Linked DNA regions of Arabidopsis thaliana. The protein of the gene in region 1 interacts with the protein of each later gene in a pairwise test. Each region holds a gene or a part of one and is shown on either strand. Other genes may lie near its edges.

What was found.
Region 2: the proteins of ERF8 (region 1) and HB21 interact in binary tests that used the Arabidopsis thaliana proteins (3 or more experiments, as listed by UniProt).
Region 3: the proteins of ERF8 (region 1) and MYB73 interact in binary tests that used the Arabidopsis thaliana proteins (3 or more experiments, as listed by UniProt).
Region 4: the proteins of ERF8 (region 1) and TCP16 interact in binary tests that used the Arabidopsis thaliana proteins (3 or more experiments, as listed by UniProt).

Annotation. Positions count from the first base shown.
Region 1 is NC_003070.9:19,820,393-19,824,999, forward strand, and holds ERF8 (ethylene response factor 8), read right to left. Parts: upstream 1,861-4,607; 5' UTR 1,705-1,860; coding exon 1,147-1,704; 3' UTR 945-1,146; downstream 1-944.
Region 2 is NC_003071.7:680,989-686,501, reverse strand, and holds HB21 (homeobox protein 21), read right to left. Parts: upstream 2,868-5,513; 5' UTR 2,672-2,867; intron 2,214-2,671; 5' UTR 2,201-2,213; coding exon 1,268-2,200; 3' UTR 1,006-1,267; downstream 1-1,005. UniProt on the Arabidopsis thaliana protein: Putative transcription factor.
Region 3 is NC_003075.7:17,538,859-17,543,550, reverse strand, and holds MYB73 (myb domain protein 73), read right to left. Parts: upstream 3,062-4,692; 5' UTR 2,950-3,061; coding exon 1,987-2,949; 3' UTR 1,752-1,986; downstream 1-1,751. Other genes in the region: HMA1 (heavy metal atpase 1), read left to right, coding at 83-188, 341-505, 653-869, 954-1,141, 1,225-1,311, 1,400-1,564. UniProt on the Arabidopsis thaliana protein: Transcription factor that functions in salt stress response. Acts as a negative regulator of NHX7/SOS1 and CBL4/SOS3 induction in response to salt stress. In response to auxin, activates the transcription of the auxin-responsive gene IAA19.
Region 4 is NC_003074.8:16,529,358-16,533,238, reverse strand, and holds TCP16 (TCP domain protein 16), read right to left. Parts: upstream 2,061-3,881; coding exon 1,563-2,060; downstream 1-1,562. UniProt on the Arabidopsis thaliana protein: Required during early processes in pollen development.

The DNA.
Region 1 (4,607 bases):
TGGATCGGGCTTTCGGATCCTAGTATGGTAGCCTTCGGTCCAGCATTAAATTTGTAACGTAAAAAAGTTGCAATCGTCAATTGATATAAAACATCTACTTATGGGAGTGATCCATAGTTGTGCGTAGTGACATGACATGGGTGTATATTTGGTTGAGTGGGGCTAAATGTCGTTAAGATAAGGGCTTAATTGAAACTATTCAACTTTCTAGAGGCCCCAATTTTACATCCCTTTATTATAACCCTTAACACGATTTTGTACGCATGCATATATATATATTTTAAAACATACTAACTTCTTTAAAAAAATATGAAATAAGAATTTAAATTATGTTAAGCGTCCACGTGGTAACGATGACGATTCCAGCCGTTGGATCTGCGACCATAGAGCATAACTGTTTTATACGTTTTTTGATCACAAAGTTGGCGACAAGAATCAAAATCAAATCTCATCCTTCCTTTGTCTCTCATTATGAAGCCGCCGCTCTTCTTATCTTCAACTTCCTTAAAACATTTTTACCATTTCAAATCGAATACTATTCAACTTAAGCAAGACTCTTAACCATCTGTTAATAAATCATCGGAGTTAAAAGAGTTGATGCAAAACACAAAAGTCAAAAGTTAGAAAAGCAGTCCAAACTGTGAAAATGACGTAAGCGTAAAGAAGTATTCTTCTAACGTACGCCGCAGCCAGAGAAGATGGGTCCGGTCCTCCCACGATTGGTGCGTGTCTTCACGACACTTGGACCATTGTCTTTTCAAGCCGACGACGACGATACTCATCACTATATTTAGTCTTATAATAATAACATTACCATTCTTTATCTATTTCTTCTACACACGAGCCCCAAAAAGCTCTATAATACTTTATCTTTTCAATTACGAATTTACGATGATGCATTTCCTTGGCAAATACTAAAGAAAAAAAAAAAGCTTAAGATCCTCTTATGTTACGTCGATTTATAATAGGGTTTCATAATAATATATACATAACGACTTTTTTTTCACGGCAGCTAAAAATTATATTGGAGCTTTTCTACACTTTCTTCTAAAAAACGGATAATATTTTTTTCTTAGGCAGAAAAAAAAAGGAAACGTTATTTTTTTTTGTCTAAAGAAACGACATAAGAAAAAAAAAACTCACGGCCTATTCCGCCGGAGGAGCTAAGTTAAGATCCAGATCTAACGGCGGAGATATCTTCCCAGCTCCACCTTCGAAATCAACGACCGACGACGTTTCAGACTCGCTCTGGACACCACACGTCGTCATCTTTGGATACGTCGCCATGTTATAGTAGTAAACCGGATGCACAAGCGGGATCTTACGACGACACGCGCCGCCGCCGCCTAAGCTGAGCTCGAGGTGCGGAGGTGTTATAAACCGTGCCGCCGTGGGAGAGTCGACGACGGTGCTACTCTGAGTAGGACTACTACCAACGATAACACCGAAATTGGTCTTAGCCTTAACACCACGAAAGTCACGCGCGGCTGCGTCGTAAGCACGCGCCGCCTGCTGAGCGGTGTCGAACGTACCGAGCCAGACTCGAGTTTTCTTAACCGGATCTCGGATCTCAGCGGCGTATCTTCCCCATGGACGTTTCCTAACGCCTCTGTAACGAATCTCTTTGGCAGCATTACTCTCATGATGAGTCGGGTTCGTTGGAGCAACCGGGTCGGGTTTCAAACCCATGGTGATGTTGGGCATGGTGTAATTAGGAAGAAGAATGGAACGAGAAGATCGGTGAAAGAGTTTTGTGGTAACGAGAAGAAGTAGAAGAGCTTCTTTTTATAGGAGAGTAAAGCAACGCTCCTTTTGGGGAGCTTTCTTGTGAACAGTCAAAGCCATTTTGAGAGATGGTTTAATTATCTCTCTCTCATGCTTCTCTTATTTCATATAAAAACTGGTTTTTGTTATTATATCCACTTATGTTTTGCCACGTGTTCACTTCTCTTTCTCCAAAAGAATCTTATTTATTACCCTTTTTCACCTTTGTAACAAAGACTGCACAAATCACAATCTTATAAATTAAGTTACTGCCTATTAAGAATATAATATAATTTGGTTTTTGCTGCATTTATCCCTATTTAAACTAGGAACATATTTGTACTAAATCTATAAAACATGTTATATCGCCACTTTGCAATTTTAAGTAATTTTTCTTATTAAAGCAATGTAATATGCGGATTTAAATCTATATAATGACATAACAATAATACTAGTATACACTATTAAAGAGTGTTATTAGTTTGTGATTTAATTAAAGTTTTAGTAACTTAAAATATTATAAAGAATCTATTGTTATTCAATTAAAAAAATTTAAAATATTAAGATTTGTAAAAAATAATTTAAAATCTTGATAAATCTATAGTTATTGGATTTATACTTTTATAAAATTATTATAAATTTTATATTATTTAGCTAAAACAAAAGAATCTATAATTGTCAATGAATTAAATTATTGTGTTATTGGTTTATGATTTTCTACACTTTTTCCAAAATAAAGTTACGAAAAGTATCATTAAAAAAGAAAGATTGTTTGAGAAAATTTAGAAATTGTGAAAAACTAATCAACAAGATTATAGAAAACTCTATAATAATAGTTTAGAAACTTTCATTTCTTTACAATCTATGATTTTATCAGATTCTTGAATTTTTTTTAATTAATTAAGAACTAATAACACCCTTTTAAACTATATGTTTTAGTTAGGTCAAGATTTATATATATATATATATAATATAAACTATTGTGTGTGTATCTAGTAGAAAAAATATTCAAACAAAATTATCGAATTTGTAGTTATATATGTTGTTAACACATAAACAAAAAAAAAAAAATTTGTAAGAAAATATATAGCGAACAAAATTTCTGAATTTGTAAATTATATACCGTTACATATATATATCGTTAAAGTGTCGACAAAAAAATATTTCTTACTTTTCTGTTTGGTAAAAGTAAAAATTATTTGAAATTTGTAATTTAGCGGATGTTACCATGATGACAATATATAATTTAGCGGATGTTACCATGAAAGCTTATTTGGTATAAAGGGAATAGAATAAAAATTTGTACTTTAGTATACCGTTATTCCGTTATAAATGTCGTTAACGAGCCGACAAGAAAAAAAAAATCTATTATTTACATGCTTATATCTGGTGAAAAATAAATATTATCAAACAAAATGACCAAAATTTTATATTGTAGTGGATTTTATATATGACGATATCATGACGAACAACGCATATATACTATTTGTGTATTTATTTGGTAAACAAAATATTATCAAAATAAATTTTTAGATTTATAACTTAGTGAACTATTTTATATATCGTGTATATACAAAAAAGAAAGAGATATCTACTACTTGCATATGTACATTGGATTAAAAATGAACACCATCAAACAAATAGATTCGAATTTGTTAGTTCTGTGGAGAAAATATACGTTGTTACAGTGACGGAAAAAAATGTCGCTACAGTGACAACAATAAAAAGACAAATCTATTATTTACATGCATATTTGTTTTTGTTTTAAAGAATACTATGGAATATATATGTTGGCTTTTATAGTTTAAAAGACTTTTATATATGTTGTCTATCGTGTTACCAATGTATATATATGATTGTAGTTAGAGTAAAGTATAATATAATCTAGTCAAATAAACGCACAACAAAAACTTTTTTTTGCCAAATTCAAACTTAAATTGTAAAGTAATTTCTTGATTATCGCTCAAACCAAATGAGTATAATTTACAAAGCCAATGTCTTCAAAAAACATTTTGGCTAGACGGGCTAAAACATCTGATCTTAAATTCAATCGTCGAGGGATAAGAGAAAGGAGAAAAAAAAATCGTGAATGAAACATATCAATAAGATTGGAAAATACACTTTTCAGAATACTGTTATAACTTGATCAACTTAAAAATTCTGTCTCAAACTTTGAGGTGTTAGAATATTTACTAAACTTCTAAATCTAATATACTCAATAAGTTTTCAGTGTTATAAAGAATCTCTGGTATTTATAGAGTCAGTTTAGATAAAAACTGGATTCGAACAAGATTAAAGTTTTTGGAGCAAAACTGAAGGAAAAAAATACAAGAAATGAAGGTGTTGATCGATAGCTTCTATGTTGCATCAATCAACAGCCCGTTAGAGGCAAGACAAGTCAATTTATTTTGTTGAATAATTGATCGATATTTCATCATGCCAATTCCATTTTGTCGACAAAATCGATCGATACCATGAATGAGTATTGATCGACTGCCTCTTGAGCCTGACTAGGCCACCAAGACCTACTGTCGGCCTAATGATTGACATCTCTATTCATGTTGATTGGCATTCTTTAACCGAGAGTTTTGAGTCTCGTTTTGTCTTGAGTCTCCCTATTTTGACATATAACCAACCCAATTGATCGTTTTTTACATGCCTATTTGGTAAAAAGAAAAAGAATACTATCGAATACATTTGTTGTATTTTTTTTGTAGTTTAGAAGACTATTGTATGTCAACTACTGTTAAGTAATAAGTATAATCTAGTAGAATAGGAAGACTCCAAGGCAAAGCACATGTTTGTAACAGAAAAGGTTATAAAATTGAGTGATTAATCAATGC
Region 2 (5,513 bases), on another chromosome or scaffold:
GATAAATGTTAAAGTGATGATGTATCGATCATATGTAAAGAGTTGGATAATTTATATATATATATATATATATATATATATTTTATATTGTTATAGTGCTATAATGCTATGTCAATCTTGAAGGAGATAAAAATATATTTGAATAAAATGACGTTTCAATAACAAAATAATAGTAATGGCAATCAATAAACTATGTCAGTTAATTGAATTTTTATCTTCCACGAAATACGCAATACGCAATTCATTATTGATGTTTTACTGAAATCGAGTGATAAACTATAGGCATAAAAAATTATACTACTATAAAACAACAAGTGAAAATGTTACATTTAATATTACAATAAATGAAACATGTGATATCACAAGGAACAACAACATCTTAAAATCGTAACTCCATTTTGATGCATGACATATTTTATCCCATATCACATTACACGACTTGCAATATGCCAAGAAGTCACATAAAGTAAATGCACATAATTGTTCAAATAAAAGAAAAGGTCCATAAATGAGTTTACTAGTACACCAACCAAACATTTACTCAACCTAATACGTCATACATATTAGGACTTGACTTACACTCGCCAGGACAATCTCCAACTCTCTCCATTGATAGAAATCGTAATTTATTGCTCTCTTTGTTTTCCGTGCAATTTATTTTTCGATCATGAGAATGAAAATATTTTTTCAAACTAGAAAACAAAATAATAGAATCAAAGCAAGACCGGATGTTTAAAAAACAAGACAAATCAAAAAAAAATATTTTGTTAAATCAAAACAACGACAAAAAAGAAACAAGACAAATCAAAACAAGACCGGCGTAAGATTTAGGTAACTAGTATTAATTTTGTTATGGACTTTGTATGATACACTTCCTTTAATAAATATCAGAATTCAAAAAACAAAAACAAAAAGAGTTACCTATGAGAATCTAAAATTCTGCTACTCACATAAATAGTAAACGTGACAAATGATATCACGAACTACAAAGTCTAATGATTCGAAGTAAATAATAACAGTGCACATCCCAATGCATTGGTTAAATCGCCAAGAATTTTCTTAAACATACATTATAAGAAAACATCAAAAACTTATCTTACACGCTCCAAAACCAAGATTATAGGTACCCTAATAAAACACATGTTTATAAAGCTACCTAAACAATGATTAGCCGAGAAAGGAGAAAACATTAACCATACGATAAGAAAGTACTTAATTAATTAAGTAATCACATGAGTGAAGTTATATAACAACAATCTGAACTTAACTAAGGATTAGTAGAAGCAAGATTTTCAGTAATGTCGTTATTACCAGCAGAAAGGTCGACATTGTTACTAACGTTGTTGCTCTTCTTGGAGAGATTTTGTTTGTTGTTGTGCATCCAAACTTTAAGAACTCTTCTCCTAATTCCAATCTCTTGACAAAGCTGTTGAACAACAGATTCCTCTTGTCTCTGAATCTTCCAACCAACTCTTTCCGCAAAACTAATCATCTTCTCCTTTTGCTCTTGTGTAAACTTTGTCCTAAACCTTTTCTTCTGATTATGTCCGTAACTATACGGTGATGGTGGTGGTGGTGGCTGCCGGAATGTCAAGCTTCCTCCGCCTTCTTCCTCCATAAGATCCTCTGACTCTGAGTTGGATCCAGCGGTTGTAACGCCAATAGGCATTATCATTTGTTGTGGTAATGGTGATTTGATCATCTTGTGGTGGAACATGAGTTTTCTCTGCTGCGGAGGTGGTTGGTGGTGGTTGAGGTAAGGGGAAAAGAATGTTTTCTCTTCACCTTCGGTTTCTCTTCTATGAAAGTTTCTATGGCAGTTGCAAACTGAGCAAGTGAGAGCTTCAATGGAACCTTCTTCACCACTTGGCATAAACTCTCCACAACCATCAATGGCATTGCCTCCCATGGTAGCTGCATGGTTCTTTAGGCATTCCTTGTACTTTATCACCACAGGCTTCTCTTTCTTGATGTTGGTAACCATGATGTTGTAACCCACATGATGATGATGAGAATGATCATGATTTTTACCAAGACCATTACTATTTGAGGAGACTAGTAGTGGGTTTGAAGTAGTAATGTTGAGAGATGATGGTGCAGAATTGGCATGATGATGATGGTTCATGTTCCCATGCCCACCTCCACTATTACCATAACTAGTGTTTATTGGAATAGGATCTTCTTGACTTGCAATCTCCATTCTTTTGATCTATCTGCCAAGGAAATAAACACGATTTTATATTTAAAACTTTTTTTGGGTTTTGCAAAGTGTTTCTTGGTTTGGGGACAAAGAAACTAGTTAGGAAGAAAAAAACAAGAGTAAAGATAATTAATGAGTAAAATTCAAATGATTAAGCTACAAAAAGGCAAGAGCTTTCTTCACTACTCATTAACCCCATTTTTTTAATTATTTCCTCCAAACAAAAAGAAAAACCCTAATTTTAGAAGGTCCATAAAGATAGAGAACAAAACGAAAAAGTACAAAAGAAAAGAAAAACTTATTGCAAGCCTGCTTAAGCAAAAGCTGACAAACCCACTTGAGAAAGAAAGGTCTTATTCCAAGTGAGAGGTTGATGATAATCAAGAAGACAATCTTTATTGTATCACCAAAACAAAATTGTTCTATTTAAACCAAATGAAAAAATTGACTGAAGAAGTTAAGAGCACATACCCACAACCAGAAAGAGCAGCAAACTTTATCTCAAAATGAAACCTTTCTTGAGAATAACCACAAGGTTCTGAGAATAGAGAGAGGCTAAGGAGTTTAGAGATTTAATTAGGGTTTTATAAAGTGATAGACTTTGAAGAAAGAAGATAAAGAGAGAGAGAGAGAGAGAGAGAAAGAGAGAATTGCAGGTGGGTTTTGGATGTGAAGGCACTTCTTAAACTAAGGGCTTAGAGTATTAGTAGTGAAAGCCAATAAAGCATGAGAAAGACACATGAGAGCCATAGCCATAGCTAATTATTTCCTCACTTTTCTACAGACAAAGAGAAAAAAGATCATTAATTAATTACACCTAGTTTTCATTTTATTAATTCATATATAGGATATTTTATTCAATAATGTCTCTACCAAATTAAAATTTGGGTGATAATATATAGACAAAAACAATACAATTGTGATCAAAATATGGAAAAGAAAAAGTGTAGCTAAATTATTTGAAACAAAAAAAGCTACATCATTTAATTTAAAATTTGAAGAAACAACAACAATCACTAAATTAGACTTTATAAGATAAGTAGTTATTCATTTTTATATACATTTTTACTCATGAAATGTCATTTTATAATATTGATATATCGCAGTCATTGATGAATTGAAGGTTATATTGAATATAAGACCATCCTCATTCTTCATTGGTGATACTTTGAGGGTGTCTTTAAATTAAAAATAATAGAAAAAGATAATTTAATGTTTTTAATTGTGTAATAGTGTCTTTAGAAAGACATTTTAGATCTCTAAAATAGAAGCTGTCTTTAATTTAATTTTAATTTATTTTTGAGATATCTACAAAGGTATGAGTAATGTGGATGCTCTAAGATTTTCATATTCACCCAAAACAAATTATCAGTAAAGGGAAAGAAAAAAAAGAAGAGAGCCAAGAATTAGGATTATGGGAGATTGCTTGTCTTGCACTATCAGACATCAAATTTACAACAGTGTAGAAACGTGTCAGATAATTAGTGGGAAGAGTATTGAAGTAGATAACAAAGAGAAAGTCATAATAAATAACAATATCTCATCTTTGTTCCAAAACATTAAATAACTAAAAATTTGGTAGTAAGGTATAATAATAATATTTTTTACCATCTTAAAATTTAAAAGTGTGAGATTGATACTAATTCAAAACGAAAGAATGTTCTAAACATTACTATAAAGCCTTAACTTGTTAAGCTAGTTAATTAAAAACACATATTGTTCCTTTACCCTTCGGCCTTCGCCATTAATTATGTCACGTATGATATTAGCTTCAAGAGGTTGTCATGTCATGCTTGTGAATTTATATGATTTACTTGAAGTTACTATTAATTATTGGTCCTACCAAATATGTGCACTTATATACCATGATCATCCGTTTTCTGGAACATACAATTGTGAGAAAGAATCAAAAGATAAACAATAAAATAAAAATATCATAATCAACTGATAATATAGTTACTGAAATATATTCATAAACCAAAGTTTGTTACGAGTTTTGTTAAGACCAAAATCTCGATTATTATTAAGTTTTGATAATATAAAGTTTTTGGTTTATATTGCGGGCTATCAGTGTTGTAAAATTAGACTCTATGTTATAGATGATATATGAACAATTGCTCTTGGGTGGCAGAATTGTAAATTTTGGCCTAAAAGTATATATAGTAAGTCTTGGTAAATAGATTTTTTTTATTGCTTTACATTTTCGACTTAATTATCACTAATCCCTATTTTTATATTTCTTTAAAATCAAACAAATGAAAACATCAAATCACCAATACATATTAAGATTTTACCTGAAAACTATTACTTTCTTGCTTAAGATTATTATTTCTGCTTCTTGATGACTAATGTTTTAAGATATATTTTTCTTTTTGACGGTCAAAAAATATGTTTCATTTTCATGTTTTGACCTTTTAGGTATAATTGTTCTAATCGACAAACTTAATTCGTTTTAGAAAAGTTCTAACAAACACGACAAGTTGTTGTCTCAACTACGGTGGCGGTTGTTCCTCTAGGTGAGTGGGGACTAATCTCATTTTTATTGATTCGTAAAAGAAGCACTAACTACCAAATTGCGGCAATTGCTAATGACCATTCAAGTCTTAATTACACAAAACACAATTAAGAAATAAGAGCAGTTCACTTTCTTAGTTTATAATTTCCTTGTGACCTTGTGGGCTTTTATTTTATAATACAAAAAAAACAAAAATTGAGATACTTTTATCTTTTTCTTTTGTTTTCTTCTTGTTTCTATGTGTTGTCTATTCTTCTGGACTCTGGTAAAATTCCTTCCATTGTAGCAGCTTTTTCAAAAACAACTCTTTTATTTTCTTTGTACCTTACGGTTTACGATATCATCAGAATAATGGCAAATAAATGCATACTCCATATAATTTAATTTAATTTCCCGTCGTCCATACTATGTATTTATTCACACGTCAAGTGACTTTTATTCGAGGTGATGTAAAAAAAAAAGCGACTTGTATTCGAGGTATAAGAAACAAATAAAATAAAAGGGACCACAAGAATATTTTTCAAATTATTCAATTATTAAGAAAAAACATAATTAATGAAAATGGTAAATTATTTAATATATATTTTTTCCTGTGTCGTTAGTTATATAATTTTTTGAAAATATAATCTACGATATTTAATTATATGCCGCTTACGTGATTGAGATAAACAGTTTTCACGAACAAGATTTTATGGTACAACTCTCCCTATAATATTATCCGTTTTTTACATGGATCAAATTTAATTTCTGTTTCGGCATGTAAGAAGTTCATATATTTCAATCGAAATAAATAAATAG
Region 3 (4,692 bases), on another chromosome or scaffold:
ATGCTTGGTCTGGTAAGAGATTGAGACTGAAGAGTACTATAGGTCTTTTCTGCTGTTTCTGACACATTTCATCTTGCTGCAGAGCTGTTGTAGATCACAGTGTGGGTAAGGATCTTCCTTCTATTTTTGTTGAAAGCTTCGAATATTTTCCTGGTAGAGGCCTTACTGCTACTGTCAACGGTGTTAAGGTGAGACTCAGTTATTTACTAGATTCTTATATATATCCATTTATCTACCAGATTTTATAGTGTATAGCTGTGGGTGATGTGTGTACATCTCTGGCTTTCATTCTTAATATATATGATGTTGTCTCTCACCACATTTTTTGGTTTTGTAATAGACAGTAGCTGAAGAGAGTAGATTACGAAAAGCATCACTTGGTTCTATAGAGTTCATTACCTCACTTTTCAAATCTGAAGATGAATCTAAACAGATCAAGGATGCTGTAAACGCGTCTTCGTACGGAAAGGACTTCGTTCATGCTGCTCTTTCTGTTGATCAAAAGGTATACTACGACTACTTCTTTAGCTGGTCTAAAAACCTCTTTCCTACTTCACAGTCTGTGATTTTCATCTCTCATCTGACCATTTATTAGTCCATAAAAACCTCTGTAACACTGAAATTTATGAGCCTTGCAACTAAATTTTGTCAGGTAACATTGATTCACCTCGAAGATCAGCCTCGTCCAGGGGTGTCAGGAGTTATAGCAGAACTTAAAAGCTGGGCCAGACTCCGAGTAATGATGTTAACTGGGGACCATGATTCAAGTGCTTGGAGAGTTGCAAACGCAGTGGGTATTACCGAAGTCTACTGCAACCTAAAGCCAGAGGATAAGTTAAATCATGTAAAGAACATTGCTCGGGAAGCAGGTGATCATTCATTACTCTCGCCATAGTTCCCAATCAAAAACATCTATCAAGAGACTGAGAATTTAGAGTTGTGATTTTTGCTAGGTGGAGGTTTAATTATGGTAGGAGAAGGGATTAATGATGCTCCAGCTCTAGCAGCTGCAACAGTGGGGATTGTTCTTGCTCAACGAGCGAGTGCCACTGCGATTGCCGTTGCTGACATCTTACTGCTTCGAGACAACATCACCGGTGTTCCGTTCTGTGTCGCTAAATCCCGCCAGACAACATCATTGGTAGATAAAACATAAAAGTCTTTGTTCTTAACCAGTTTCAGATGTTAGATTGCCTGATTTAACAAGAATGTATCATGTTGCAGGTCAAGCAAAACGTAGCTCTTGCATTAACATCGATATTCTTGGCCGCTCTTCCTTCAGTTTTAGGGTTTGTCCCATTGTGGTTGACGGTACGTAAGCTAATACCCACTACAAGCTTTTGTTATCCATCATTTACCCGAGAGACAAAACCGCTAACCTGCATTTTTGTGATCATAGGTACTTCTACATGAAGGCGGGACTCTTCTGGTGTGTCTAAACTCAGTACGTGGTCTAAACGATCCATCATGGTCGTGGAAACAAGACATAGTTCATCTAATCAACAAGTTACGCTCACAAGAACCAACCAGTAGCAGCAGCAACAGTTTAAGCTCTGCACATTAGGGGGTAACTTGCTGTTCTTTGTCTAATTCTGCAAAAGCAAGACACTGTGAATTGTATGATCGCTTATGAAACATCAAAATCGTATATATGTTTCGTTTCGACTGGTTTCTTCAGGTCATATATTATGTCACGTGAGATTATATTTACTACTTTTAGTTTATGTTTGTTTCCTCGTAACAAACCCATAGAATAAAAGTTTGAGAAGTGTTTTTGACTTTTCTTCTTCAAGTTTGTGTAAATTGTTAATAAATGATCTTGCTTTGCTTTTAATTGAATCACGAAAGAAGATCATATGATGATGATAACAAAACATTTTTTGATTTCGCTTCCTCCTTTCGTCGTCTCTACTACTGGCTCTATACATGAAAAGCCTGAAACTTTTATTTTCCCGAGAAACAGAGGGAAAACTTGTTCTTATCACTCTACTCCATCTTCCCAATTCCGATTTGGTTCACTATAAACTCTCTAAACCCAACACGACGGCTGTTTACACTTTGTGGCATACACGAACCGCCACCTCCGCCGCCAGAACTACTACCACCGACGTTTCCTCGCTGTAAATCCGCCATGTAACTCCTCACCTCCGTCCTTATCATCTCCTGAACCACCGTCATGAACTCACCACCGAATCCACCAGATATCCCCTTCGCTTCTTCTTCTTCTACTTCCACTTGCTCTTCCTTTCTAACCGGAAACAGCTCCGCCGTATAACCACCGTCCATAACCGTATTCTGGTTAAGTTGAACCGGCTCGTTGACTCGAACCGTCTCGTCAGTCCAAGGAAGAGACAAACTAAGATAAGTTGGAGGATCTTCACCAGACGATGACGCTGTAACCTCAGATCTAACCGTTGGTTTAAACACGTGTGCACCACCACTAGATTGCTCGCTGACGTCAGATCCCGATGGACTTCCGGGACTCATATACAAGCCAGTCGAGACACCACCACCACCACTCGCCGTACGTTTCAACGGTTGCTCTTCTCCTAAATTACCATCATACCCTCCATTACCACCAAAATCACAACTTTGCCCTTCGACGCTGCATTTTCGCTTCAGCGTCGAGTTCCAATGATTCTTGATAGCGTTATCGGTTCGTCCATTGAGAAGACGAGAGATCGTAGCCCACTTGTTACCAAACCGAGCGTGAGCTCGAATAATCGTCTCGTCTTCTTCCTGCGAAAAAGCACGGTGCTCTACCTCCGGAGATAGCTGGTTACACCACCGGAGACGACAAGATTTGCCGGAACGTCCAGGGATTGATTTGCTAATCAAAGACCAGTTCCTCGGACCATGTTTCTGAACAAGCCTCTGCAACAGATCATCTTCTTCTGGACTCCATGGACCTTTAATCCTCTCCATATTCTTACGGGTCGGGTTTGACATCGCCGGATCTTTTTATCGGATTGTTCTTTTTTTTTCTTCTAACGCGTCCTCTTTTTTTTTGGTCGTTACAGTTTTTTTTTTTGTGTGTGTTGGGAAGAAAAGCTTTTTGGTTGAAGAGGATAAGAGCAAGAAGAGAGAGTATTTATACGAGAAAGGAGTGGGCAAAAGGGTCACCGGTTCAACCGGTAATTTTTTCTTATCGATTTAACAGAAACGATATTAAACTAGTTAAACTTTACAGTGTAATATTATCCTTAACTGCATAAAAATATCTAACGTATTATTAAAAACAAATTTTATAGAAGGAAACAAATAAAACCGTTTTCTCTATTAATAAAGAGATTTGCTCAGTGTTAAACGGATAACTATGGTAGTTCAAACAATAAAAAATAAAAACTGATAATTATGGTCGTTACTCGTTAAACAATTTTGACTCATTCAGTCAAAAAAATATTGGTGAATTTAATTAATTTAAACGTATGATTAACCATTGTTTATATGTTCATAATTATGTGTCCATAAATGGGCTACGTACAAACCTCGTTAACGTTTGGGTATAAAAAAATTGACAACATTTACGTGTTTGTATGATTGGAACAGATATTTATTTTAAACCAAAAATAAAACACGTTGGCGATTGGAAAAGGCGTTTTGGGAGATAAGCGTTTGTGTGAGGTTAACATCGAGCGTGGAGAGCAGAGAATCTTCCAGGAAAAACGGTTGGGGACTTGGGATACAGCTGTATATTAACACGTGTCAAGTAAGTATATGTACTTTGAGTTTGAGATTTGCTTTTTTTTTTTCAATTGTTCTTTCTTTTTTTTGAGAGATTTGTTTTCTTTTGAAGAGAGAGTACGCTCGTACACAGGAGCGTTTCTTCCACTCTCTGTTTTACAGGTGGAGCGTTTTTACCCAATCATTTCATTTTCCATCTAAAGTGACACTCACAAAAAAAAATCGTTAACTTCTACGTTTTATTCTCTCTATATTTATATCCTTTTTAAAATCATTCTCTTTTTGAATATTTGTTAACTTTTTCGTATGTTTTTTGAAGTTTTATTTTGTAAAATTTTGATACTATTGTAGAAGAAAATGAAATCAAGAATGGCAATGTATATCAAAAAAAATATTAAAGGCAAAATTTTGTAAAAACTAAGAATCTGCTGGAAACATACATATTGCTTTTAAAAATAGTAAGTGCAACAAAAAGACTACATAGAAGTCAATAAAAAATAGCCGAAAGTTTTTGTGTTATGAACTAAAGTTTTTTGATAAGTTATTTTCAATATTTTACACTGTTTGTTACATGTCATTGTCTTCTGTGTGTTGATTGATACGTGTGGTTATTATATAAACGAACGATTGGTCCAATATCCAAATTTTGGTTAAGATGTAAATTGTGTCGGTGAAAATAATGTAGACATTGTAGTCGTTGACAGCGAGTTCTAGGCTTCTAGCTTACATGCAACAAGTGAATGTAATAGTTTTGCAATGTTTGGTCATTGAATTTCTAACAAATATGTACGTGTAAGATACTAGATTAAATATGAATGTTGCAAGTAATAGATCGTTTATATTTGTCAAGTGATAAATTGTCGTATAGAAGAACAACTAAACCGAAGAATTACTAATCCGGTTCAACTTAGTTAACCAGAAATTGAAAGGGTAAACGCCGGTGAAGCGCGTGTAGGATGATGATATATATACAGTGAAGCAAACTTTTCAGGATATATATGTAACTTT
Region 4 (3,881 bases), on another chromosome or scaffold:
AGGACAATCCGAGAAGACAATGTATCCAACTCGTTTGAATAAAGGTGCAAGAATGACGGACAAGGCGTTTGGTTCGAAAGATGTTCGTACGTACTAACGATTAAAAAAAGGCTTCCTAGGAACTCAATGGGGAAACTTGTACGAAGGAGATTACATGTACTCTCTACATATGTGTCAGCGTGAAATTCGGGATCCTTTCTCGACAGTGTTTTTCCGCTTTTATAGGGAAGATATATGCGGTCATGAACTCGGGATGATTTTTCTTTTCTGCTCCCAGCAAATTGACGATACTTAATGGGCTGAGCTTGTGTAACGGACCAAACGCAAGTCTCTTTCTTATGGGCCTAACTATATTTGGGCCGGGCTTTTTGGAATGGGGCGGAACCCATGTCCAACAAAAAAACAGAAAACTAAAGTATTAATATATGTTGCTAAAAGAAATTTTAATTGTTAAGAAAAATCTTGTTATTCATGGAAAAAGAAAATAAGTTTTTCTTCAAATTTTATTAAACATGGTATGATTAAATTTATTTTTATACTATAAACTATATAATCTCTTTTTCTAGCTTAAAGTGAGCTGGAATTTTCTTTAAGAATTTTAAACCATTTTCTTACTCAAGTTTTTTTTTTTAATCTAAATAAAGGTTAAATAGTATTTTTCTCTAAATACATATTAACCAATCTATAAAGTAAAAGAATTTAAGGGAAAACTATTAAAAGTTTATTAAAGTAATTTTTATTTACACAAAAATTAGTTTCTTATTCTTTAGATTTAGTTTTCCTTCCTTTTTTTTTTCTTTTTTTTTCCTTGAGAATCTTGAAAATAATATATATATATATATATTAAAATATATATCTGTGTATTAAGAAATATTAAAATAGATGTATGAAGCTAAATACAGAAACAAATCTTAAATAATTATTGTCCAGCTAAGTGTGAGCTGGAAATTTCTTTAACAGATATAAAACCACATTCTTACTCAATTGTTCCTTTTATTATCTCTTTAATTTATTTATATTATAGTTTTTGATATCCGTTTTTAATTAATGTTTTCATAACCGTTGGAACCTTTAGGTTCGAAAGACAAACGAATTTTGACAAATTAGAAAACGGAAATAAATAACTGTACATAAAAGTTATGTTTCGGTAAATATTATGACAGAATTATTTATTCTAGAATACCAACGAAATTGTTCGTGTCCAAAAAAGAAAAAATGAATCAAATTTGTTGTGAAGAGTTTAATTTAATCCATTGTTGAAATCAAATTCTCTACTAAACTTCAAACATGGACAAACAGTTTTAAATTACATCTATAATTAATTTTAGGTATTATTATTCATCTTAAAAAAACATGAGCATACAAGAAAAAAAGACAAATGGATACCGATCGAACTAAAACAAACCCTAGTTCAACTCTCAAACTGAAAAACATGAAGAGGAAAGAAAAAGCAAACAGAAACGAACTAAAACGTCCAGAACTGAACACTCTTAAATCTCCAATATTTATTTTAAAGACTCCAAATTGGCCTTCTCAGCGACGCCGTCTCCTCCTTCACAAGCTCAAACTGTGGTTGTGGCTGTTGTTGTTGCTGCTGATGTTGTATCACTGGCGGTAGCATTACCATTAAAGGTGGAATTGTAATTATCACTAATAGTACTGTAATTAGTTGAAGGTGCATGATCTGTCATTGTAGAAACCGGAAACACCATCTGACGATGACCAGTATTTACAACCGTACAAGGGAAAACGTTATTACTAATATTATCACCATTAAAGGTGTAACTAGGAAAATTCCTATTTGGCTGGATATCTTCATTGGAGGTGGTGGTGACACCATGTCCCGTGGCTGCGAAAATGGCAGGCTCGGCATTCTGGAGGAGCCAACTGACAGTTTCACCATCGGTTTTAAAGCCGAGTTCTTTTGTCAATCTAAATAGTTGGGGAGCAACACTCGGCGGGATCCGAATGCGACGATCACGGCCACCAATTTTCAAATGGCGGTCTTTTGGAGTCCTTCTTGCCTTTTGGCTGTTGTTAATTCCATTTTTCGAATCCATTTTTCTCTGTTTTTTTTTTCTTTTTCTTTTGTAAATGGAAGTGGAAAATATGTTTGTTTCACTTGGATTATATAGAAACGTTACAGAAAACTCTATTTCTATTTATGTTATGTATGGAAAACAATAATGGTGTAACAAACTAATAATTAAACTAATTGGTAAATAGAAGAAATCTTAAATTTATATAGGTATATTTGAGAATGAAATATTATCATGTAATATAATATGTAGTATAGAAAATATATTTAGTGGACCTGAAAAAAAGAAGTTATATTGGAATAATTAATTGATAGGTCCACTAAAAAAAGGAAAATAAACCTTTCTTCTGGCAGTTTACAGAAATTATTATTTACTGATACAACTGTACAAGTATAGTCCTATTTTATCCTATTTTAATTTTTTTAAAGTTAAGGTTTTAGTTTTTTTCCTTAGAAATTAATGATATTCCAACATTGTTATTTAAAATATTATATTGTTATTTTTAAACTAGGTGTTTGGATAGGAGTTCGCATATTTTTTTTTGGACGGTTAATTTGTTCTTCAGATATTGTCTATTTGTTTATTTATCAAACTATATTTCATTTAGGGTCAAATTCCCCGGACTATCAATTCTGAAAATAGAGATTCAGACTTAAAAATATATATCCAGAAAATTCCCTTAAGCTAACCCATTCGGGATAAAAAGTTTTTGAGGCTTAATCCCACCAGATTCAAGCCGGCCTAAAAAAATTTTAATTTTTTTTTTTACTTTTCTTTTGTTAATATTTTTCTTTAATTGGAATATTTGTTTTTGTTTTTTTTAATAGTATTGAAAACCCTAAACCTAGTTTTTCAATTGTGCCTTACTATAAATCTAAAAAACAAATCTTGGCTCGACTGTCTAGATTAAAATCTTCTGATTTTATATTTTATTTGTTATGAGTTTAAATAAAAAAATTAGATTATTTTTTTTGATTTTAAACCTTTTTTTTTGAAAATAAACTGGCTTTCATGGTTATTTAAATTTCAACTGATTTGTTTTGTTCATATATCCATCTTTCAGAAATATTATAAATTATAAATTTGTTTTTTTCTGGAAAGAAAAACATAAAAAACCTGGAAAAGTCTTGTCCCTGTTATTACCAGATCTTGAAATATAAGTTCAAATTTTTTTATTTCAAAATTTTTACTAACCGAACCAGACTAAATAAAATATATTCGAATTTTCTGGACTTTGTCAGACTGGACTAGTCCAATTGACATGTCTAAACTATTATAATAAATTATTTGTATGTAAGAAAATATATCCAAGTAAAATGATGGGTTACAAGACAGATGGTTTAGAAATAACCTGATATCATATTACCCGACTCTTACACATACTTTGTTTTCTTAAAACGGATAAGAGTTGGATAACATACTGTATATTGTTTGGTCAGCCTTACTGTTTTCATTTCCAAACTGACTTTTCAAATAAAGAACTAAAAAAAAGTCATCACCATCATTTTGAGCATGTTTCTATAACTCAAGCGGAACACTTTTAGAATTCGTCAAATCAAATATATTTTGACTCATTTTAAATCAAATATTCACTTTTACGAGAATAATTAACGAATTCTATCATCATTGAGCTATGATTTCATACGTATACCTTATAATTTAGATTATACTCTAAATTAGTGTGATGTTAAAAATTCAACAAATATTTAACCCTCAAACACTTACCGAGGTACTGTGTAAATGACTTCTTACATACTATTGAGCGTTCGAATTAATTGATCAAATAGAGATTTGCTTTTCAGCTATTTTTTTTTTTTTTGAATTACTAAGAGGTTTTTGGGA